Linked DNA regions of Rhinolophus ferrumequinum. The protein of the gene in region 1 interacts with the protein of each later gene in a biochemical or structural test. Links are inferred from orthologs where the notes say so. Each region holds a gene or a part of one and is shown on either strand. Other genes may lie near its edges.

Evidence for each region.
Region 2: the proteins of NGF (region 1) and NGFR form a complex in vitro, tested with the Homo sapiens proteins (2 studies listed by BioGRID and IntAct, with this or other methods). The link is inferred for Rhinolophus ferrumequinum from reciprocal best matches to the Homo sapiens genes NGF and NGFR.

The regions. Positions count from the first base shown.
Region 1 is NC_046305.1:45,831,683-45,843,186, reverse strand, and holds the start of NGF (beta-nerve growth factor), read left to right. Parts: upstream 1-5,361; 5' UTR 5,362-5,419; intron 5,420-11,504. UniProt on the Homo sapiens protein: Nerve growth factor is important for the development and maintenance of the sympathetic and sensory nervous systems.
Region 2 is NC_046304.1:33,857,826-33,869,524, reverse strand, and holds the start of NGFR (tumor necrosis factor receptor superfamily member 16), read left to right. Parts: upstream 1-6,303; 5' UTR 6,304-6,419; coding exon 6,420-6,488; intron 6,489-11,699. UniProt on the Homo sapiens protein: Low affinity receptor which can bind to NGF, BDNF, NTF3, and NTF4. Forms a heterodimeric receptor with SORCS2 that binds the precursor forms of NGF, BDNF and NTF3 with high affinity, and has much lower affinity for mature NGF and BDNF.

The DNA.
Region 1 (11,504 bases):
CTATGTGGCAGGAAACATGTCTTCTTGCTCCCGTTTCCTTGTACCTAACACAGATCCTGCCCAGGACTGTAACCGGGGCCTGGAGTTGGACAGAAAGCCACCCAGGATGCGGCAGAGCCCACCGAGCCCAGACTCCTCCAGAGAAGCCTTGCCAAGGAAGGCGTGAGGCTCCTGCCCACCTCAGCACCACAGAACCCTAATTGTTCCACACGGTACCCAGTGACAGGAAAGAGCCGCTGTGATGCTCTACGGGCAGAATTTGATCATTGTGAACCTTGAGCCAGCGGTATCTCTGGGATGGGCCCAAGAAGAAAGCCCCATGCCAGGGGCAGTGCGAGCCATGGAGGGAGGACCTGGAGGAAGATTCTAGAATGGCAGCAGGGCTGTGGAGCCTCATGAGGAGCACTGAGGATTTGTTCTAGTGCTGGAGGAGGGGAGAAACACAGAGGTGTCTGAAGACAGCACCCATGAAGACCTGACCTGGGCTGTCCGCGTGGTGGCCGGGGGCCATTGGAGGCCTTTGTGGGGACAGAGTTAGACCAGTCTGGAAGTTGGAGGCTCGCCGCTGTTTGGGTCAGGAGAGCAGAGGCTACACCAAAACGCCAGGAGGCCGGCTCCATGCCCCTTGCACCCAGGAGCTTGGCGCCTGCAGCACCAGTGCCGGTTTCTGAATCCGTCTCATCCTCCTTTCCAAACCATGCTCACTGAAATCACAATTTGTTTTTTATGGGCCTGGCCTATAATATGCACTAAATAAATGTTTATTAAATGGGTGAAGTCACTTCATAGAATTTAGGTTGCACATGACTAGAGGCTGTTTCGCTCCCTTGAGGAACACCTAATACCTCCAAGAGGACTGGCATATTGCAGGGGCTCAGCCATCGTGTATTTAACACCATTCGTGATATCCTTGTAAGTAATTACCGTTATTATGGCTGCAAGAGGACAGCTCTTCCTCCCAAGGTCACACCACCTTAGCGGATAGATGGAGTAGGTGAGCTACATCTTTCTACTTCCAAGCAGTTGGCGTTCCTGGGCTGCGGTGCCCCCGCTGGAGAAGAGCTGAACTGCGCTGGGCCCAAGGAGATACCTGAGCTGTCCCAGGGCTGAGATCTAAGGGCTGCTGCCGGCTGAGCCACGACCAAGGGCTTTGGATGGAGGCCCTGAGGGTCGGAGGTGAGATGGCAGCACCGTCCTTGCTAGCACCCACGCAGGCCGCGGTCCGAAACAAGAACCCAGGTAGCACTTTGCACATATGAACTCTCCAACTGTTAGTGACTGAAGGAGCAGGTGTGGGGTCAGAGCTGAAGCGAGGGGATCAGTATGGTAGGAGGGATGGCCTGGGAGGCTGAGAGTGGAGAAGAATGTCGCGCCCCAGGACTGAGCCATGGGAGGCACAGGCATTCGAGGGCCGACGGAGAAATCAGAGCGGTAGATGGCAAACCAGGAAGAGCACAGTCACAGAAACTCGAAAGGAAAGTGTTCCATGCAGGAGGTCCTCGGGGAGGAGGCTGAGGACCGGCAAAGTCTGATGAACTGCGCGGAAAGAAGGAGAAGGTACGGTGTTTGACAGCCAGTGCTCCACTGGCGTGGTTCAAATCTCTACCGGCCATTTCATGGGCTATGAGTGACTTACGCTGAGCAAGAGACTTACCTCGTAGGGCTTCAGCTTCCTTATTAATAAGTGGGTGATACCTACTTATAGGGCCCATAAAAATGCCTTGCCCAGGACCCCAAAACAAGGAAAGCAGCCAATAAATGCTACGATTGTTCTGTTGGTGGCAGTGTTGTTATTGCAACTGGTGACCTTTAAGAAGAAAATATCAGGTCAGTGGGGAGAAGGGGTGGGGAGGGGAAGAAGATGGGAACCAGACCGCAGGAAGTTGAGAGGAGCCAAAGAACAGGTGGGTCACTTTGCTGAGGCATTTAGTGGTGCAAGAAGTTGCGAGTCCAGAGACTGGGTGTCAGGAGGGCTAGCAGTTTCCTTAGGAGAGACAGGCAAGTGAATGCAGACAAGCCAAAGGGAGATGGAGAAACTGAAGTTATCAGAGAGAGGGTGAAAGCCAGGAGCAGCTCCCGGGAGGAGGCAGGGATGGCCCCCAAGAGGAGGAGGGGAGCCCAGCCGTTGCCATCCCCAGTGTTCTCTGCACCCTGGTCTGTCTTTGCTCCTTTACCAGTCTCCCCACTAAGGCCAGGGCCCAGAGGTTTTTCCCTCAGCCTCTTTCAGAGAGTGTGAGAGAAAGCAGACTCGCCTAGAAATCAAGAGGCCTGAGTTCTGGCCTGACCCGGCCCATTTATACTCAGCTAAGACCCCGTCCTTCCTGAGCCCTGAGTCCTCCTCCATAACTGAGGTGGCTGGAGTGATGTTCTCGGTGATTCTGTAACCATGCCATCACACTAAGCATTATAAAACATTTCCTCTTCTAAAGGTGTTCTCCACTCTGATGAGAAAGAAGGGGGAAGCAAGTCTTTGAGCTGACGCTATCACTTCCTCCCGCAATTGGGACAATATTTCTGTTTGGCACATATTGCCAGCAGATCCAGCAATGCCATCCGTACTGGCAGATCTCGGCCGAGCCTCCTGGTGTTTTAAATAGCACATGTACTTTGCCTTGCCCTTCTGGGATGAAGCAAGAGAGAGGCAGGAGCTTTGTGCCAGGCTGAGTGTTGCTGTGGACGAGGCACTCAGTGGCTGCAAACTTCTGAATCCTCAGAAATAACAACAATTACTGTGCACACACTACACTCTCCTCCACGGCAGCAAATACATCAGCTGCTGGTTATTTTGATACCCGGGTGAAAAAGCTCTTTCGAGAAAATCTAGTACAAAAAAACATTCTTATCCTCTACTTGTCTGCACCATTCCTTCTGCCCGCTGCCCTCTCAGCTGCTTTCCATTCCTATAAATGTAACTGGTCCAGGCTTTAAAGTCCTTCTCTCAGTGACCCAGGAGAAGGAAGTGGAAGAGGCAAGAGAAGAAACGCTGACTATGGTCTCTGTGTCAAGGCCAGTCTGACCTGGAACCTACTGGAAACCAATTCAGTGTGGATGGGTGTTATCTGACAGCCGCAAATGTCTCTGACTGTTGTAGGATTCAACAAGCATTTACTGAGCACCTACTGTGTGCCAGACTCTGTGCTAGGACCTGGGGAGACTGTGATACACATGGCCGGGCCTAAAAATCCAGTCCCCATCAAAATGTGAATTCTCTGAGAACAGGTAGGTACCTCAGCCATCTCACAGCGCCTGGCAGGCACATAGTAGGCACTCATAATTAATCTTTGGAGTATTTGTTTGTTGCTTACACGTTCTTATTTACTCAAGATCCTTTAAGTTCAGGGACAGAAACAGAGCTAGACAAGGATGGAAAGGAGCTCTTATTAAACCAACATGTGCCATCAGAATATGATGAAGAATTGGGGGGGGTGGCATCTAGCCTTACATTCTGCTTACATCATTTTTACATTTCCCTCTTACACACCACATAAAACAAATAAACAAACAAACAAAACAAAACCACAAGTCCGCCAAATCCTTTTGTCCTTCTGGGTGACGCCACAAGAACACATGCAAAGGTTCTGCATGCAACTACCAAATTTGATTCTAAAATTTTCAACTTTATCCCTAACTTCTCAGGCAGCTATTTTGTAAAGGCTTAGGGCTGGTGCTTTCAAACAAGTTTATACACGACATGATTGATGAATGAATTTGCCCTATTGTATGGAAATTCCTTTGTTTAATTGACAACGATAAATGTCCTAATGGATAGCCCTGACTCTGGCGCTAAGTCTGCAGAAAAGGCCATCTATGGTGGGCCCAGCAGCTAGCACTCTCCTCCAAAGTGTGTTCATCCAACCTGTTTGTACAACTCAGAACAACTCAGAAGTGGACAAGCCCTCCCTGGGAGATGAAGAGGCCACACGAAGGCTAAAGCTGACTTCCAATTCTGGGGATTTCTTCCTACCTCATCCTTCTCACAGCAGACAGCTATGCAAAGCAGCAGGGCAAAGGTGAAAAGACCACCAAGTGGACACCTCAGGCCAATCTGTGTAAAGGGAGCTGGAAATGCCGAAGAAGGGCTTCAGCTCGCCAGTGCCTCCCCTGGGGCGCGGGGGTGGGGCAAAGGGCCACCCTTGGACTTAAAACAGGAACCCCTCCCTGTACCTCATTAAATCAGGGCGCCTGAATTGTGCTGGCATGTCTTCACCAACAAAGGGATTCAGTGCCCTCCCCTCCCGTGCCCCATCCCTTCCTCCCATGTGGCACCAGGGACAGGGTAGGGGCTCAGCAGACGGTTTACTCAGGGAAGAAGTGTAGACTGAGTTTAACACCAGGGAAAGTGGGTGTGAATTTTGAAAGACGTGTGAACCCCCAGAACATTATTATAATTAATGACGCACATTTGCTGAAAAATCTGGCTTCAGGGGTATTTCTGCTACCGTGGGGCTGAGGTGGGAAGGGCAGGCAAGCTTCCCTGTCAGCCTCTGAATCCATGGAACACAAGAAATGCTGGAGGGCCCGGCCAGCCAGGAGGTCACACCTCCCTTAAAGTCTGCAGCATGCGGATAAAGAGGAATTGGGGCAGGTCCTGGGGTGGCCAAGGAGTCTTGCTGTCTGGGTCAGTTTAGAGTCACAGATCCCTTGCAAAGCTGATAAAAGCTGCTGACCCTCTACCCAGAAAAATGCACGCAATGCACACAGATGTACAGATTTACCTACAATTTCAGGGACCCCAGGAAACTTCCAGAACTTAAGTTAAAGCCCTGAGTCCAGGTCCAGACGCCTAACGCCTCTGTCTCTGTCCCCACGCCAGACTTGCCCCTGCCCAGGGGCCTTCTAGATGGTTCTGGCTCTCAGAGCCGCAGCTCTGCCTCCTATCAGAGGAGCGCCAGCACCTGCGTCTTCCAGGGCTCCCCTGGGTGCTCGCTTCTTCAGGGGTGACAGGAAGCATCCCAGGCGAAAAGTTCCCTTGGCCTTTCTCTCTAGGCTGTGAGGGGCAGCCATGCCTAAAGCACGGGAGAGTCGTGCTGGGAGGACGGGGTGGGGACGGGGTGGGGTGGGGGGGGGTAGGGAAAGGGGACACAGATAGCGGTGCCCCAGAAAATCCCTGCCTGTGCTGGGCTCGCACAGTCCCTCCGACCTGTGTGGTTCCCTTTGACTTCTGGGGCTTTGAACCCTTCCCTGACTGGGGAGACTCAGCCCTCCTGGGAGCTGATCGCTAATCCCCAGGACCCCCGACAGCCGGGCACCTCAGTCCAGCACCAGCAGGTGTGGGCCTGGGGCGGGCCGTGCCCGGGGCAGACTGAAGTGAGGAGGAGTCCGGGAGGAGGGGCTAAGAATTCCAGAAGCCAGTGTTGAAGCCGTTCGGAGCTCCTGCACCGCAGAGTGCGCCGGGAGCCGGAGAGGAGCGCAGCGCTGGGTGAGTCCTGCAGCCTGGAGCGGAGCCCCGAGAGGGGCGCAGCGTGGGCAGGGGTGCTGGCGGGCGGGGAGGAGCTCCCGGGAGACAGTGCCTGGCTCCCAGCCTGGTAAGATCTCCGGGCACCCCCGAGGATCCCACGGGCTGAGGTGCAGTGGTGAGAGGAGTGTCCCGAGTGGGCGCAGGAGTGCGGGAGCCTTGGCAGGCGAGCCGGCGAGCAGGGGGAAGCAGCGCGCTCTCTGGTCTTGAAGTTCCCGGTCTCCCCGTGGCCCGAAGTCCCGGAGGCCACCCTGGCGCCTGCAGTAGTCCCGCGCGGTGCCAGACACTACTAGCTCGAGTGCTAGAAAGGGACAGCGCGCAAGTGAGGGAGAGCAGATGAGCGTGGAGAGAGGGATGCGCGGGCCAGAGGGTGGGCTGCACCGCGGAGGGCGAGAGCATCGCGCGCGAGGTCTGGGCTGTGCGCCTAGTCCGGAAAGTGCTACGCTGCCCCCCAGGTAAGGGGACCAGCGAGGCAGGGCACGCTGAATCTGATGCCAGGAATGGAGGCAGGGTCTTTGGGGTCTTCTCCTCATTGCTGGAGGGCTGAGAGTTCGAAATGAAGGCCCCCGGGGCTTAATGGAGGAACCTTGCACACCAAGAGACCTCCACGGATCCGGGTGGACCGAAGTCGCTGGGCTACTTGGGTCACACGCCTCACCGCCAGCTGTCTGCTGCCAGTTGTGGGAGAAGCTGGCGTGGAGGGCTGAGGTGGGCAGCGCCTTAGGTCCTGGAGGCAAAGACCCAGGGCAGAGAGGACTCAGGGGTGAGGGGACGGCACCTTTGAGCCAGCAGAAACCACAGAGGCTTTGCTCTGTTTGATTACAACTCTTCTTACTCTCTCAAAAAGAAAAAGAAAAAAAAAGAAATCCCTGAGATTCTCATGGAAGGTGTTTTCTGCTTGAACTTTCTCTTCTCTTGTGACTTGAGCGATTAAAAAAGAGCCTGCTTGCTAGGCTGGTTTTTCCAAGTTGTTCCAGGTTGGAAGTTGTAACTGTTTGAAGGATAATTTATGGGTGTTTCATGCATTAAAGTGCATTACAGCAAAGCCTTTGGGGTGCTGTGGGTATTAAGGAAAACTTCGTGCACGTTCCCAGCTGGAAACCAAAATAGTGCTCTCCTGGGTGTCTCTGCCCTGTCAATCATCTGAGGCTAGTGGAAATCCTGGAGTAAAGGCATTTGATTAATTATCCTGGCTCCATCCGCTGGGCGTACCCACTGCCAATTCCGGGCCCCTCCTCCCCCACATGCACAGCCAGTTGCATTCTGCAAACTCAGAAATGGTGGTGGAGGGCCTACCAATAACTTTTCTCCAGGGTCTTCAGACTCTTGAAGCTGTCAGTTAAGTCTGCCAGCAGGGAATATTTCTTGCGACGTGTTTACAGCTTCCTACCGAATGTCTGAAACTTTCTCCCTCTGCAGAGCCGCAGAGGAAAGTCTAGAAAGTCTGCATTAGACCTGCATGGGTCTCTTCTGTGGCATAAGTCATATATGTCAGCCTGGGCAACCCAAATGTCAATCCATGATGGGCAGTGTTCCAGAGGTTCAGAGGGCACCCAGGACTGGCGAGTGAGTGGTCTGGGGGCTGAAACCTGCCCTGCTGGCACTGACTCACAGAAGAAATCACTGTTCCTCCTACTTGGGTCATTGGAGGGCCCTGGGGCTAACTTCATGTGCTGCTAAACCTCTCCCCCTATCTCTCTCCAACATTTTTATGTAGGTGAAAAAACCGGCAGCCTTGAAGGGAAAAATGTTAGGAGTCACCACAAATGGGAAACTAAGGTCTCTGAGGCGCGGGGACACGTGTTTTGAAAGAACTGTAGGAGTGTCTCAGAGGATTTTGGAACCGGCTCTGGTGCCAGCCCTTCCCTGAGCCCAGGCCCACTAAGAGCATTTGGAAACTGGGTCCTCTCAGGGCAGTCATCCTACTATTGGTGACTTTCTGTATCCTTAGCCTTTCTCAAGGAGTGAGGGTCTCACCTTCTCCCACTGGCCACCCAGAGTACCAGAGGGAGGAGGTGCTAAAGCTTCACACTCCGCTTCTCTTATGTGGAGAAACCTGTGCCTTGGCCAGGAAGGGGGCCCCAGCTGCCGACATCAGCAGGGAGGGTAGGGCAGGGCAGGGCTGCAGCCCGAGGGAAGTTTCTCATCGTCACTGAGATTAAACGACTGAGAAAATCGCACAACTTCACTTTTAAATCAGTGCTGAGCAGACTTCTGCACATTCAAAGAGTGTCCAGTTGTAGTGGCAGCAGCTTTGGGACCACAGAGAAACTGCAAAGAACACATGGCTGCTGTTCTTCCCTGCTCTGCATGGAGCAGGGGCCAGGCCCGGGCCCCCAGGCACACATCACTGTCACACCAGGGACTAGAGGCCCAGCCATTTGTCTTCTCCCTATAAGGCCTCATAGAGACTTCGGGGTTCAGAGCAGGTGGGTCTTGGAGACCTTTGCTGGCAGCAAATACTTTCTGCTCTCAGGAGGCCGAGGAAGGCTTGCTGAAGATTCACTTAAAGTCTCTCAGCAAACAACTCATATCCCCAGAGGGTTTCTCTTTCTTTGGCCCCTCTGATCTTGCAAACCATCAGCTACACCATCAGCCCTCAGGCTTAGCCGTCCCGAGAAATCAACTCTGTGATGGACCAGTTTCACAGAACAGCATACGGGGCATCAGGCAAATACATGGAGATGGACGACCCTCCCCAACACATGCCCAGCGACCTGCTTCCTGACAGTGGGCACCCTCACTCTAAATAGCAGTAAAACCGGGATGGCCCTAAGGCAGAAATGCAGCTGGAGAAACTGAGGATTGGGGGTGACTGGCCTTTCCGTTGGGTGTACACAGGATTGTCACTGTTTGAGCCAAGGAGGAATAGCCCTTCAGACACAAAGTTTGGCCAAGACCAGATCATGAAAGCTTACAATAAAGAAGACATTCTCAGGCTTTGTGATGTTTTCATGGTTCCTCTGTGGGCTACTTGACATGTTTTTGAGGTGTCCCCAGGGACTGTTGGCCTCAGACTATGACACAGTCAGAATCAGATTGAAACGTTACGATGATCTCTTGACATTTTTCTCCAGTATTTTGGGTAAACTTCCGATGGTAGTTTCCCAAGCTCTGAGACAGGAGGGAAAGTGGCTTTGTGACCTTAAGCAAGTCACTAAACTTCTCGGGTTTAATTTTTCCTAATTTATAGGACAAGTGCATTGAATTAATAATGTTTCTTGATGGGCTACTGGCAGTTGGGGACAATTCTTGGTGAAGTATGACCTATTGACATAATGCAGGATGCTTAGTATCTCCTCCTTGCCTACTAAATGCCAGACGTCATGGTGACAACCAAACCCACCCCCCCCCCAACACCATTTTTGGCTCACTGCTTATTAAAAGGATAATACTGTTTCGCGGTGAGAACGCCCTTGGAAATCACCAGTAAGGCCCCTTCTTCCAGGCCCTCATGGGGGGTCTCTATTTAATCACTGAGTTGGGCTTCAGAAGGCCAGCCCTGGGCTTGACCTTTAAGAACCAGCATTTCCGACTCCAGGAAGTCATTGATGGGGCCTTCCGTGCTGTGGTCCCAGCAGGTGTCATGCTTTGTCTTTTGTCAATGGAGTGTGACTACAAATGACCCACCTGAAAAGGAAACCAGAATGAGTGGGGAAAGGGACAGGTGGTATTAGAGCATGGCAGCTTCCTTCTGGGCCATATGTTATTGAAAACACAGGCAGGTTGCTTGCCCCAGGTGTCCACGGCCCTGGGGGGAGATCCCTCCCTCCTATACTAAGTGGACCACACTCTGACACCAGGAGGTCCCTTCCCTGAATGAGAGGACAAGGAAGTAGAACCCTTCCCAGCACTGACAGCACTTAATACAACATGGGTACGTGTTGGTATCAAATTAATACAACTGTGCCAAGCTGTGAGAATGATGTGACACTTGATTGAAAACAAAATAGGCCAGCAATGCTAGCCTGAAGGGTTGGTGTTTGTAGTAGCAGTGGGTTTATTCTCAAGGAGAACAGCTCATGTCATCTTTACCTTTTCCCCAAGGTCTCACTGGAGGACAAAAAAGAGAACCGTTTGGTTATTCATAGTGCACAGGGCTAAAATGAGTATCTTTGGAGGCTATTACAGGAACACCCACTTGCCACTTACCCCCAGGTAGAGAGAAAATTACCGAAGCAGGAGGGCTGGTCGAGTTTGGAGTTGATTTCCGATGAGGCAGGAAAAAAAATAAATAAATAAGACCAGGAGACCTAAGGAGATCTCTCTGAGGTTGAGACGAGTCTGATAACACAGTCTGTCAGGGGGGATGAGCAAACGCTTTTTGAATGGCCCAAGAGTTTGGCCAACCTCTTTCACTTGTGGAAAACCTTTTTATTAGCAGTATTAGTCAGAGCCAGTTTGCAAGACCAGAGGAGTTTCCCTGAAAATTCACCACCAGGCTCAGCAGATGGAGATGTTTTGGCACCGCCGGTGGTGGCTTTTGCAGGTGGAGAGCCCTGCAGATGGAGGGATCTGGTCTGAAGTCGGTGGGAATGAACCGCCCAAGCTTCCCACCAAAGCCGTTCCACGTGGAGGGCCGTTACAATCCACTACTACTGAGCACTTTCCCGGGAACCACAGAGTATTTGCTATTTGGGACAGACGGGCTGATTTTCCCATTTTCTTTGACTTTTCCGTCAGTAGCCAGGGTTCGTTATGTGTCATCTGTCGGCTTGCTGCGTGCTGTTCCGGAGGGAGCCCAGGGAGGACCACCCGGGGGAAGCCGTGATGAGAGCTCAGCTCAGGTTGGGGGTGCAGGGAGGTCTTGTCTCAGCCCCTCATCGCTGTGGATCTGAGATGCAGTTACAGCGACTTGCATGTCTCTCTTGCCCCGCCTGGTGAGACGCCATCCCATGTTTGGACCTGAGGAGACCTGGCTGGGAGGTGAACACACTGGGGCACCGTCTTATCTCTGTCAATAACCTTGTAAGGAACCCCCACGGTGTGTGGGAGATGCCAAGAGAGGCAGGCCCGCTTGGCACTGTGATTTTGAAGGGAGGGACAGTCATGCTGGGCTCCAGCTGCCTGAAGGATGCTGAACTAGGTAAGCAGAGAGGAAGGAGATGCAGGAGGACATCTCCTGTACCCGTTCTTCCGTAAAACAGAGAGAACAGTAGTATCTCCTCTGCTGGGCTATTGTACACAGTAGGTGGTATGATGTCGGGCGAACACCAGCATAGGCCAGCACACAGTAGGCACCTCACAGACATGATGAGTTCCTTTCCCTCATGTTCTCCCCCAGTGGGACTGATCTGAGAGGGTCCTCTCTTCATGCTTTCCCACTTCAGATCAGACAATATCATCTCTCTTTTTTTTATGTCTATATTTCGACCTTCTGTAATTAACATTCTCATGTCGATAGACTTTTAACCAGTCTCTTCCTCTTCTGAATTTTCTTTGCCTCATCATATCCTGGTAAAAAGAGAGTCGTGGAGATCCGCCTATAATTTTCTTTCAGAGGCAAACGTCTCCTCAGACTTTTATTTTAGAAATGTTATGCAATGCTCTCTAAATAAGGCATTTCGTGAGAATGGCCACTTGTACTGGCAGCTTTCAGAGTGTTTTGGTCCCTCACCCCACGTAACAACTCCTCCTCCTCCAACAATTGGTGTCTTTAGCATTTTTTGTATCTGATCAAGTTTACAAGAGAAGGAGGCTGTGAATTTTTCTATGGTAGCAGGGCGCCCAGAGGATCCGGCGCTGAACAGCTGTGGCTGAATTGAATATGACCTGTGGTTAAAGTGGGGACAGTCCCCACGCCACTGGCTACCAGGCCACTGAACTGATTTTCCTTCTCCCAATTAACATCTTTATTAATATGCTAACTAGGGGACTGAGTACTGTGGGAGAATCATTATAAACATAAATCATGATCCTGCCCAAGGAGCTTGCTCAAGCGCCACGATGAAAATGGCTTTAGAGGCTTATCCGATAATGCGCATGAGATAAGGCCATGACCTGGGGGGGGTCTGTGGTAAACTACAGTGGATTGGCCCCATCGAAAGGG
Region 2 (11,699 bases), on another chromosome or scaffold:
CACAGCCTAGGGTCTTCTTCACCCCACCGTGCTGAAACGGATCTAAAATTCCTTTCTTTGCAACTGACGCACTGAGAGACTTAGAACATGCCAAGTACTTATCTGGGCCTCAGTTTCCCCAACTGGCTTCCACTGCTGAAATCTGAGTCCTGGCCTAGAGCGTATGACTGGGAACACTCTTGTGCTCCTGCATAGGTACGAAACACTTCTGTTTAATTGGGGAACCCCTTAGACTAGGAGATTCCCCAAGGCTGCGGCCTGTCTCTCCGCTCTCCCCGCTCTGTGGTGAAGGGCAGTGACATTGACGTTCCTCTCCATGTCCCAGGCCTATCTCTGTGCTCCCGTGGGAGAAGAGACTGCAGCTTAGGGACTGTGTCCCCCTCTTCAGAGTAGGGAGACTTCCAGGGTGAGGGCTCTGTCTCCCCCCTCGGATTGGAGTTTCCCCCAGGGCAGGGCTATCTCTTCTCTCTCCTCAGAGGGGGTCATTCAGTTGGCAAGTGAAGTAGATGTGACTGAGAAAGCTGGTTCAGAAATGGCTGGCCACCCAGGCCTCTGTTCTTAAATAATCAGCCCTGTTTCAGGGTTCGAGGCCCAGCAGACCTAACCTTGGAAAGGGATTCGCAAGTGACGCACTTTCTGAGCCCTCCCCCTTTCTGAGCCCCTCTTGGGGGTCTTCTCTTGACTGGGAGACTTAACAGACTGTGCATCCATGCCCTTTACCCTCCCCTGCTGGAAACCAACCCAGACAATTGCACTTGACCCCACATCCCAGACGAGCCAGAGTGAAGATAAGCTGAGGCCTGGGATGTCTCCTCCCCCAGCGATTCCCGTGGGAATTGTGCTGAGCCCAAGGACTGTCACAGCTCTGGCTCTTATCTGCAGCAGGAAGGCTGGGAGCCTGGGTCTCCAGTGCTGAAATGTCATCTCACCCCTCATCCGGTCTCCAGCCTGCAGGCCAGAAGCCACCAACACCAGCAGCAGCAAATAGAACAAGAGTAATTGACATCTCTCCAGCTCTCTTGATTTGCAAAGCACACTCACTCAATACCTCTCTGACCCCTGGAAGTAACTCTGAGACTGGTATCTTATGCCCATTTTATGAAGGAAGAAACTGAGCAGGGAAAAGGACTGGCCCAAGGGCACACAACAAATAAACGGTCTGGCACCCACATCTTAGGATGCCTCATCGCACTTATCTTCCCACCTGAGGACCTCACACTGCTCCAGCCTCAGTGTAGCCCTACTCAGTTTTTCTTTAAATTGTCTTGTTCGTACTTGAACACAGTATAAAAAGTGAGAGAGAAGACTAAATCCTCCAGAACTGCAGGGCAGCTCTGTGATCCTGCTGGGCTGGGAAAGATCAAGTTGAGAGTCAGGAGGAATTTCCTAGAGGAAGGCTACTTGAGGGGAATGTGTGCTGCACAGATGAGGCCAGAGGCCGGGGAGGGTGGCCCCTTGAGTCAGCAAAGGAAGACGGCTGCCCCGAGTTAGGGAGTATGCCGAATCTCTCCCCTTCCTCCTTACACAAAGACTGGAACTCTCTCTCCAGTGAAGCGCGTGGGTATAGTATTGCCCTCTCTGGGCAACCCTTCTCCAAGACACAAAGTCTGGGGAAATTAAGTCCCTACCACCTATGTAACAAATTGACCAGATCTTATGATTTCTTGACAAGAGGTATGGGTACAGAATGGGGCACAGGTAGGAGGGAGGCTGGCCTTTCAAAGTAGAGAAAGACTGCAAATGGGAAGATGGAAGGCTTTGACCAATTCTACTGTTACGTCGAAGGAAGAGAGAAGACAACTCTCAGGGGGACGTAACCCACAGAAGGGCTCGGAGGAGAGAAGGCTGATGAATGTGGGTTAGACAGGCCCCTTGCAGGACAGGGTGGAGGCAGGAAGGGAGCATGGGCCTTAGGCTGGAGCAGACGGCGGGGGAGGGCATGGTGGAACTGGCCCACTTTGATGCTCCAGTTAATCTAACTGGACTCCAAACTTGACTAAGTCCTGCCACCCCTCTCACTATTAACGCAGCTCCAGAATCAAACTGAGCTGACCCCAAACCCGTCCCCAAGTCCCACGCTGCTCCCTCATTGGTCAAGCCCCCCTTGCAGCCCAGAAGGAGTCAGCTCCAAGGTAATCACTGCATCACGCTTCAAAGCCACCGAGCCAACTCCTAATGGGGGGCAGCGGGTTTCACTTACCTTGCCTGGCTGCCTGCCCAGGGCAGATGGGATGCAGCTGGGGGAGGCCTGGCACCTCCTCCTCCCCTCCGCCCCCTGAGAAATTGTTGTCTCCTTGCCCATCTCCCTTCACCCCTTCTCTGGTTGGACATTGGAACTGGGGGTAGGGGAGGTGATTCTCCCAAAGCAAGAAAAGCGAGCGCTCACCAAGAGAGCTTGAAAATCACACCTTCTATCAAAAGGCCTCCCCCACCCTCCCTAGGCCTCCAAGCCCAGATTCTGTGATGCGTGTCAGGAGGGGCATCTGAGTGGTAGCACGGAGGGCAGCCCCCCTGACATGCAGCTTCTGTCTCCCCAACTCACTGGGATGAGGCTGGAGGGGCTGGGATGAAAGGAGGAGCAACAGGACATCGGAGTTACTGAGCAGAAGTATGGCTGCTGAGGGCCTGTGCAGTACAGTGGCTACTTACGGTACCACTGCTTCCTGGGGTCCTTGGACAAGTGGCTTAACAGCCTCAGTCTCTTCATCTGTGAAATGGTGCTCCCAGCACCTCCTTCATGGAAGTGGGGGGTTAAAGAAGATAACTGTGTGGATTTCCAGCCCATAGGACGTCTCAGTAAATGTGAGTTCTCATTGTCTGCTCTCGCATTTCTGCTCAGAAGTGGGTTGGGGCTGCAGGCTGCTTCCCCAGGGACTGCTGGAGACAGGCCCGGGGAGCTGTGAGCAATGTTCTGCAGAGGGCCTGAGGTGAGGGGTCCTGACGGAATAGGAAGACAGGGAGAGTGTGTCAGGAGCTTGCCTTCCTGGTGACAGAAGGGTCAGGAGATGAACAGGGGAGGGGCAAACCCATTTCAACTCCTGAAGATTAAGTTTGACTCACCACTCCCACACACAGCTTCACGGAGAATTGCAATGATTTTCTCCACCCTTTCACCTTAAGGGCCCTATTTAGGTCCAGGAAGCCCTGGTGTGTGTGTGGTTGGGGGAAGGGCCCTTTGTATGTGCAGCTCTGTCATGGGAGATGGTTCTGGGGGACCCTCCCATGAAAACAGCTACCCCCTTGATGCTCCCTGTCTGATCCCACTTGCCGGTCAGCTCCTAAGAGCCCTCTCCCATGTCTCATCCCACAGCAGTGGCCGCAAGTGCTAAGGATTAGGGGGAAGAGGGCTGGGTCAGGGAGACATTTTTGAAGGACGCTCATGTTTGGGGCCAGGACTCACAACCAACCATTAGAGAGTTAGGGTCGGTAAGCAGTGGCTTCCTAAGGCCTCTGATATGGTTCTAAAGAAAAGGGTGGGACCTAAGTATCCAGCCTGCATTAGGAGCAGGAATACCTGCTGTTTGTGGTGGTGCAGATGAAGGAAGGGGGGTGGCGGTGGTGGCTAGGGCCCCGGCAGTCATGGGGATGGTGGGGATGGTGGTGAAAATGGTATGGCAGTCATGGTAGTGATGGGAAGATTGTGGGAGGGAGTCACGGCAGTGGTAGCTGCGGTGGTTTTGGTAGTGACGCTGGTGTTATCATGATGGTGGTCACAGCGGTGCTGCTTTTGGTATAGGTGGCTGAGATGGTGACAGTGGTGCTGATGGCGGTCATGCGGGCAGCCACCAGCGAAGGAACATCCTGATCTCAGCTGTTATCTATGGTACGGAGAAGCCAACGTGCCACCTGATAAAAGAATCCTTCACAGCAAATTCCTAATACCCTAGAACACCAGCTCCATGAGGGCAGCTACCATTGTTTACTGCTGTATCCCCAGTGCCTAGAACAGTGTGGCATGTAGCAGGTGCTCAATAAATGTGTGTTGAATAAGTAAAAGGGGATGGGGAGTCTCTCCTTGTGATGAGCACTGTTACCTCATTTGTCCTTCACTCTGCCCATTCAAGACAGGATCTTTTTGAAAATTCCCATTTTACAGTAGAGGAAATTGAGGCTGAGAGAGATGACGTAACCATACAGGACTAAGCCACTTTGGGGGTGGGTGGGCGGTGTCGGCGTTGATAGCCAGGTCTGTCTGACTCTCAGTTCGGTGCTCTTTCCTCTACGCACTTGGCAGAGCCACTGTCCCCGCCAGCACTCAGCATTACATCGTGGGCCTGTACGTGGGCTTAATCACAGAAATGTTGGTAATAATAGTAAGTTTGTAATTGTTCACGTAAGGCTTAAATGATCAAGACCATGGAAATTATTAATAACCCAGGCCCAGCCATGGTAGTGTGAGTCATATTAAATCGTGTTGAGGTGGATAACCTTGGCAATAATAGTAACCAGGATCATAAATTAATAACAGGAGTATTTAAACGAATGCCACACTGTGGATACCCGTGGTAGTAAGCAGCTCGATGCTGCCGTTAGTACTAATGTTGCCCCTTCCTGTCTTCTAGGAATTCAGCTGAGAGGAAAGGCAGGGCCATAAAAGCAGCGGGAGACAGCTCAAAGGCTGGCCCCTGTCGGCAGGACGGAGTCCTCAGGGACTTCTGAAGAGGGCCTGGCCGCCTGGCCTCTTATGCCCAGCCATCAAAGTGGTGGCTCCTCCACATTCATGCTCAAGGCCACAATGGTGTCTACCTGTCCTTTCTGGGGCTGTCCCCTGGACTTTGTTAGTTGCATAGGAAAGAAATTCACAGGGCAAATTTCCCCCATATAAATGAATGAATGATTTAGCTTCAGCTGATCTAGGAAAACACCTACCAACTGCTAGCATGCCCTCTTCACAAGTGTACTGATCTCTCCTTCTTCCTATAATGTGGGAGGAGAGTGCTATTTTTTTCAAAGTGGAAACTGAGGTCCACACATGGCCAAGGTCAGAGTGCAGGACAGGCTTTGTGGCCGTGCCCCACAGCTCTGTGCTCCAGGGTTCATGTCTGGGAACCAGGAAAGGGTAGGAACAGGCAGGGGTGTGCATCAAGGTGGGGGGTGACGGTGCTTCCCACAAAAGACTGCTTTTACAATCCCTGGGAGTGCAAGCCTATGCTTTGGACCTGCCAATTTTTGTAGGGCTTAGTGAGTGTGGGATGCCTACACAGAACGTGGATGGGTACGTGGATATAAGTCCATCTAACCACTTTTCCATTTATTCCCTTCTAAAGACCTTTATTGAACACCTACTGTGTACCAGGCATTCAGATAAGAAAGCATAGTACCTTTCTGCCGGGTGGATGTGTCATTAGCTAATGGACACACTCACAATCTAGTGAATATACTAGGTGTATACTGTTGATACACCTGAGTGTTTGTGTATGGGTGTAAGAGTGTTTGTGTGCTCACGAATGTGTGTGTGCACTTGTGCAAGAGAATGTACATGTGAAGGTTTGTGTGGCGGTGACTGTACATGTACACGTGCATGTGTAGGTGAGCATGTGTTTGAGCATTATGACACGTGTGACAAGTGTGCATGTGTGCTTGAGTGTGGAGGTGCATACGCCTGTGTAGAATGTGCAGGTCTACATGAGAGTGGTGCGGGCATATGTGGTGCGTAAATACATATATATGTCAGCTTGAGGGTGTGTTTTCCTGTGTTTTGTGTGAACACTTATGACCCTTTCAAACCCATCTTTTGAGAATTCAAATGATGTCGGGATGGAATCCACCTTGAATGTCCCCGCTGCACACCGCCAGGGTCAGGCCACCTGCTCCTCCTTTCCGTCCCTCCGTCTAGGCCTTTGCACTGGGAAGGGGCAAGGATAGGGGTAGGGTATGCACCAGGAGATGGAGGGCGGGGCGGGCAGTGGGCATTCTTGCTGATAAAGGCTGGGTAGGGAGCAGGGCACCAGGGAAGAAGCTGAATGAAGCCTGAGGCAGAGGAAGATGGGTAAGAGGGTGAATCCTGCGGGTGGGCGAAGCCGGAGGGGAACGGGGCTGCCGTGGTCCGGAGCGCACAGCATCCCGGACCCACGCGCCCTAGCGCAGGCCGGCCTCTGGGTACTGGGGCGAGGCGGGGGAGAGGCTATCAAGGCCAGGGCGCCGAGAAGAGGCAGCGGGGCGCGCGGGCGCGGCTCCGCGAACGCCCTCCCTCCCCCTCCACTACCCTCCCGGAGGCGGCAGGGCGGGCGGGCGCGGTTCCGGGGGTGGGCGGGGAGGAGGCGGGGCCGCCGCACTGGCTTCTCTCACCCCTCCCGCCCGCAGCCAGAGGGAGCGGAGCTTCGGCCAGCTCCGGGGGGCGGGCGCTGGAGCGCAGCGCAGCCCTATCTGTCCGCGGAGCGGACTAACTGGAAGCCGGGCGCTGCCGCGGGAGGCGGACGATGGGGGCAGGTGCCGCCGGATGCGCCATGGACCCGCTGCGCCTGCTGCTGCTTTTGCTGCTCCTGGGGGTGAGTGCTAGCCCGAGGGGAGTCCGCTCCTTCTGACAGGACCCGAACCCCGATGAGTTCAGGTTTCCCCGAGGGAAAACATAACAGAGCGTTGGGGTCCCAGACGCTGGGGATGGATGGCGGGAGAGGAGCTCCGATGCCAGGATCCACGGAGGAGCGTCCAGGGTTGTCAAGGCCAGAGGCGACCCAGAGATCCAGGGTAGGGATGTGGGCAAGAGGGGCGCACGGATGCGGGCACTCGGGTACCGCGGAGGTGTGTGTGGAGGAGCCGGGAGGGGTCTCTGAGGTGGGGGCCCCGGGGCTCTCGGATGCTTGGGTTCTATGGAGAGGACGCGTGAATGCCAGGATCTCGAGGCGACTTTCTCTGAGCATCTTGATTTCTGGAGGGTCGTGGGACGGAACCCAGGCTAGAGAAGAAGGAGGAATGAGATGGGGACTAGAGATGTGAGGGGCGAGCGGGGCTGGGGTGGGGAACCAGAGACGAAGGGACGGAACAATAGGGAAGGAGGCTGGAGCGACAGAGGGAAGCGGGCATCGGACACTGAAGACCTGACCAGACAATGGGGGGAGGGGCGTGGGAGGGAGAGCTTCGGGCGTGGGGGCTCTGTTGAAGAGAGAGAAGTGGATTAGGGAGAGCAGAAAAGGGACGACGGCGAGGGAGGCAGAGAGATGGAAGTAAACTGAAAGAGGACGGAGAAGGGAGAGTGGATCCGAAGGTGGTCGGGGCCCCACGGGTCCGCCGAGGGACCGCGGGACCAGAAGCGAGCGCAGAGGCACGGACGCTTCCCGCGCCTGTCGCGCGCTCTTTCCCGCGGCTTCGCCCAGTCCGGGAATTGCGGCTGGGAATCAGAGGCTGGGAAAGGAGCGCCCACTTCGCCGGGGCGAACCCTCTTCCCCGGTTCTCCTACAACCCGCGGGCTGCCCCGACGCGCTTCTTCTCGCGATTTGAAGCAGCGCGGCGGACCGGAAGGGATGGAGCTAGCGTCGTCAGATCGCATCTGGCCGCCGCCAAGTCTGGGGATGCAGGACGCGCCAGGCGGGGAATATCGGGGCAGCGCGCAGCTCTGGGCGGCGCAGGCGGCCCGCAGGGGGCGCTGCGGTGCGAGAGTTGTGCCCTCTGCAGCGGCGGGAGTCACTGGGGGTGTGTGCCGGTCCCCCATTAAGTTAAGTGACCCGAACGCCACGCTCGCGGTTCGCTCCGCTCCAGCGCTCCGGCAGGTCGGGATTCCGCCTGTGCCCCGCCCAGCTTTCGGATGAAGACGCTGAGCACCGAACCAGACAGAGGCGCTCAGACGCCTCGGACTGCGTCTCGGCAAAGGACTGCGGGTCCCCTTAAGCATCTAAGTCGGCCGTGTAGTTCTGACAAAATATTCAGGGTATGTGACCTGGTGTGTAGCCATGAACAGAGTTTCTTTGTAAGGTTTGGCAATGGAGGAGGTGTCCTCACTCTGCCTGCCATCTTCATCTCTCATCTGAGCATAGCGCCCCAGATCCCCGTTTTACAGATAAGGAGACTGAGGCTTTGAGAGTTTAAACAACTTGGCCAAGATCCCACAAGCAACCAGAGTCCTAGCTAGACTGCCCCTCACCTGATTCCCAGCTACCAGCTCCCCGCACCACTTAAGGGGGCAACCTGGGTTCCAGGTCGGATTAAGAGCTGCGTTTGTCGACGGGGTGGGCTTGACACGACCCCCAGAGTCAGGCCGGGTGGGCAGAGACCCTCTTCGGGCCCTGTCCCCTCCCCAAAGCTCAGCCCAGGTTCCCTGGAGCTGTCAGTACCTGTGGCTTTGTCTGGGCATTTGAGAGTGATTGCGGGCACGTTTGCTGACTAACGCCGCGGGGTAGAGATGCTCCTGGGTCGGCGGCGGGGGGTGCGGGGAGGTGGGACTGGGGCAGCCAGTAGTGCGGATCCCGGAGGGGCGAGGGGGTGGGCTCCGGACCCGGGTTGGAGAGAGTGTTCCCAGAGTGGAAAGAGGCGAGGAAGGAGGAGAGCTGGGCGTGGAGGGGCTGGGGAAGGTGGACGCGGCGCAGAATCTGCCGCCTGCAGCCCCTGCGGCTCTCGCCTCCGCCTCACCGCTGCTCTCTACGGGCTGGCTCTGCGCACCGCGGCGCTTCGAGTTCTTCCTGGGCCGCGGCGAGAGAGTGCTGAAACCAGAGCGCGTCCCGGCGGGTCGGCTGGCGGGCCGCGCCGGTAATGGAGGCACTTTGTCATTCAGACGTCTGTAACCGGAGCCTCGGGGATGGCTAATGCGCCTAATAGGGATGCAGCGAGGGCAGCAAATGGGAGGACGCGAGCGGCCGGGCGGGGGAGACGGCTTCGGGAGCGAAGGGGTCTCCACCCGTGTACCAGCCCAGTCCCACTCACGCGCCCAGATTCTTCTCTGGGGCTACCGGGTGGGAAGGCGGAATAATAAAATTGGTTGAGTGCCTACTGTGTGCCACGCACTGCCCTGAGTAATTTCTCTTCGGTTATTTAATCCTTAAAAGGTCCCAGCAGAGAAAATCTAGTTATTCACATTTTACAGTTGAAGGAGCTGAACCTCTCAGACTTTCAAGCACGAAACTAGGCTCTCCCAGTTAGTAAGTGGTGGTGTCCTGGGAATCCAGGATGCTTGGCTTGGAGCTTACCCCTTCCTCCGTATGCAGCCACTACTCCACCCCCTTCTAAATCGCGGAGGGACATGTGGCCCTGAACCACCACTAGCCCCAGAGATTAGATCAGTGTCCTATGCCCTTGACACCACAAAATTGGAACTGAGCCCCTTCCCCCAATGCAGTCCCTGCCCCCCTCTCAAAGCCTCGCTTCAGCCTCAGTAATTACCTCATGTCTCCTATCCCACACTCAACCCCACCCTAAGGGGGTGGAGGGCATGTGCCAGTGCCTCCCCTGGCTTTACATGGGCCTCAAAACACCCTCCACATATTTGAAAACGACCAATGGTGGTCATTTATGGCTCCATTCACCTAAGGAGCCCTTTGCTAAAGCTGGGGTGCATGGTTAGGGTTCATCACACTGAAGCATTCAAATAGTTTAACATTCTTCCAACTATTTTGGTGTGTTTTCTATTTTGTCCAGTTTTAATTTTTTAAAAAAAGATTCTTAAGTCAATTCACTTACAGGTACTTCCACCTTAGTTTTTTGAAAGCCTTGAAATGGCAAAAATAAAAAGATTGCAAACATTCTCAAAAATGGGACGAAATTGTTCCATCAAACTGGAAATAAGTGTAATTAATAAATGTATATTTCAGGCACTTGGCATCTGTCATTTTGGTAAATTGATCCTTTTGGAGCAATTAGCCTGGATCCTGGTCATCCTTCTCGGCTTCCCAAGATTGCCCCCGCTTGACCCAACACAGGGTGTGGCAGTGGCCATGCATCAGCCCATTTAGCAAAGTGACCTCTGTGGGTCTCAGTTTCCCCAGCTGTCAGGGGATGAAGACAATTCCTCAAGTTTTTCTCCCTCAGTATCATGGCTTCTGGAGTAACTGTTTGGGGTGACATTTCCTCTCACTCATGGGACTGTGACTCCCCACAGAGGTCAGGGACCATGTCTCATTGGAAACTCTTGTTTCAATGCTCAGTAAATAATTGTTGAATTCATTAACTTTAAGGAGAGCAATTACCCATCCTCCTTTGGTCCCCATGCCCTCTTCAGACTCCCTGGTGGCTAAGTCTTTCCTCATATCTATTCTGCCCCTTGTCTCTTAGGTGCTTTCCTCTTTTTGGGGCTGGCTAAGCTCTCCCCTCCCACTACCTCCCCCCCATGGTCAGCAGCTCACTCTCCCTAAGACAAGATACTTCTTTGATACTTAACATTTATTGAACTCCTACTGTACACCAGACAGATTTGTATAAATTATTTCATTTAATTTTCACAGCAACCCTGAGCAGTAGATACTACCAACAGTATAGCTCACACTTTTGACTCAGAAAGTTGCCCCCTCCTGGCTCAGAATCTACTTACACTCATTTTATACACCTTCCTACCAAGGCTAGTTACATACCGTGTTTCCCCGAAAATAAGACCTAGGCGGACAATCAGCTCTAATGTGTCTTTTGGAGCAAAAATTAATATAAGACCTGGTGTTATTTTACTATAATATAAAACCACGTCTTTAATATAATATAATATAATATAATATAATATAACACAAGGTCTTATGTTAATTTTTGCTCCAAAAGAGGCATTAGAGCTGATTCTCCGGCTAGGTCTTATTTTCGGGGAAACACGTTAGTTTCTAAAGATTCAATTAGACCTAATAAATTAGAATGGAGGGGCCACTGAGGTCACACTGGTAGCAGCAAGAATTGACAACTGTTATCTTGACAGGAATGGAGGAGGCAGAAAAAGTATTTTAAAAAGTTGACAGGAGAAGTCAGAGACGAAAGTGTGGTAATTTGGCGAAAAGAACACAAGGGCTTCACTGAATTGCAGCTCAGAATAATTGCTGGTGTAAATATTGAGTTCCTGAGTCATGAGGAAACCATGAAGATATGTTCCAGAGTCAGAGAACGGTGCAGCCACCATGGCTAAAATGGAAACCATTAGGTGATTAGAGCTGCCGAGCCTTGACTTTCGGGAAATTCGGCTATCCAGAAGTCATTCCTGGAGTTCCAATTAATTGAGGTCATATCATATTTTCATAATTCCACAAGCACACACGTTGGGTCCCTACTACGTGCCAGGTACTGTGTCAGTCCTGCCCTCAGGGAGCTGATAGTCCAGTGGGGACTCTGTAAAGTGTCAGATCAGACAAAAATAGTCAAAAGGGAGAACATGTAACAGGACAGCTCCACTTGATCTGGGAAGGGATAGGGACACAGGCCCATTTCCTTAAGGAAGTGATATTTAAGCAGAGCTCTACAGGATGAAAAGAAATCCGAACAGACTCTTCTGGAATCTCGCTAGCTAGCCTCCTGGGGGAAAGCCTGTATTTGGGACTCCACCCATCCCCAAAGCTTCTGGTTTGCAGATGTTCCCGGTTGTGTTCCTGCCACCTGGGAGGAGAGAGTAGTGGCACCCAATGTCCCCCTCCTATGCTACCTACACCTTCCCTGCTGGTCTCCTGAGGACCACAGGCTGCCTCCTAGACTGAGCCAATCTGTCCGGCCCCTGCCTCCACTGAAGCCTGGTGAGATCTCAGGATATCTTAAAAGACCGGAGGGAAGGGAGTGTTGTTGGCCACAGTCTGGTCAATGTGGAAGCAGAG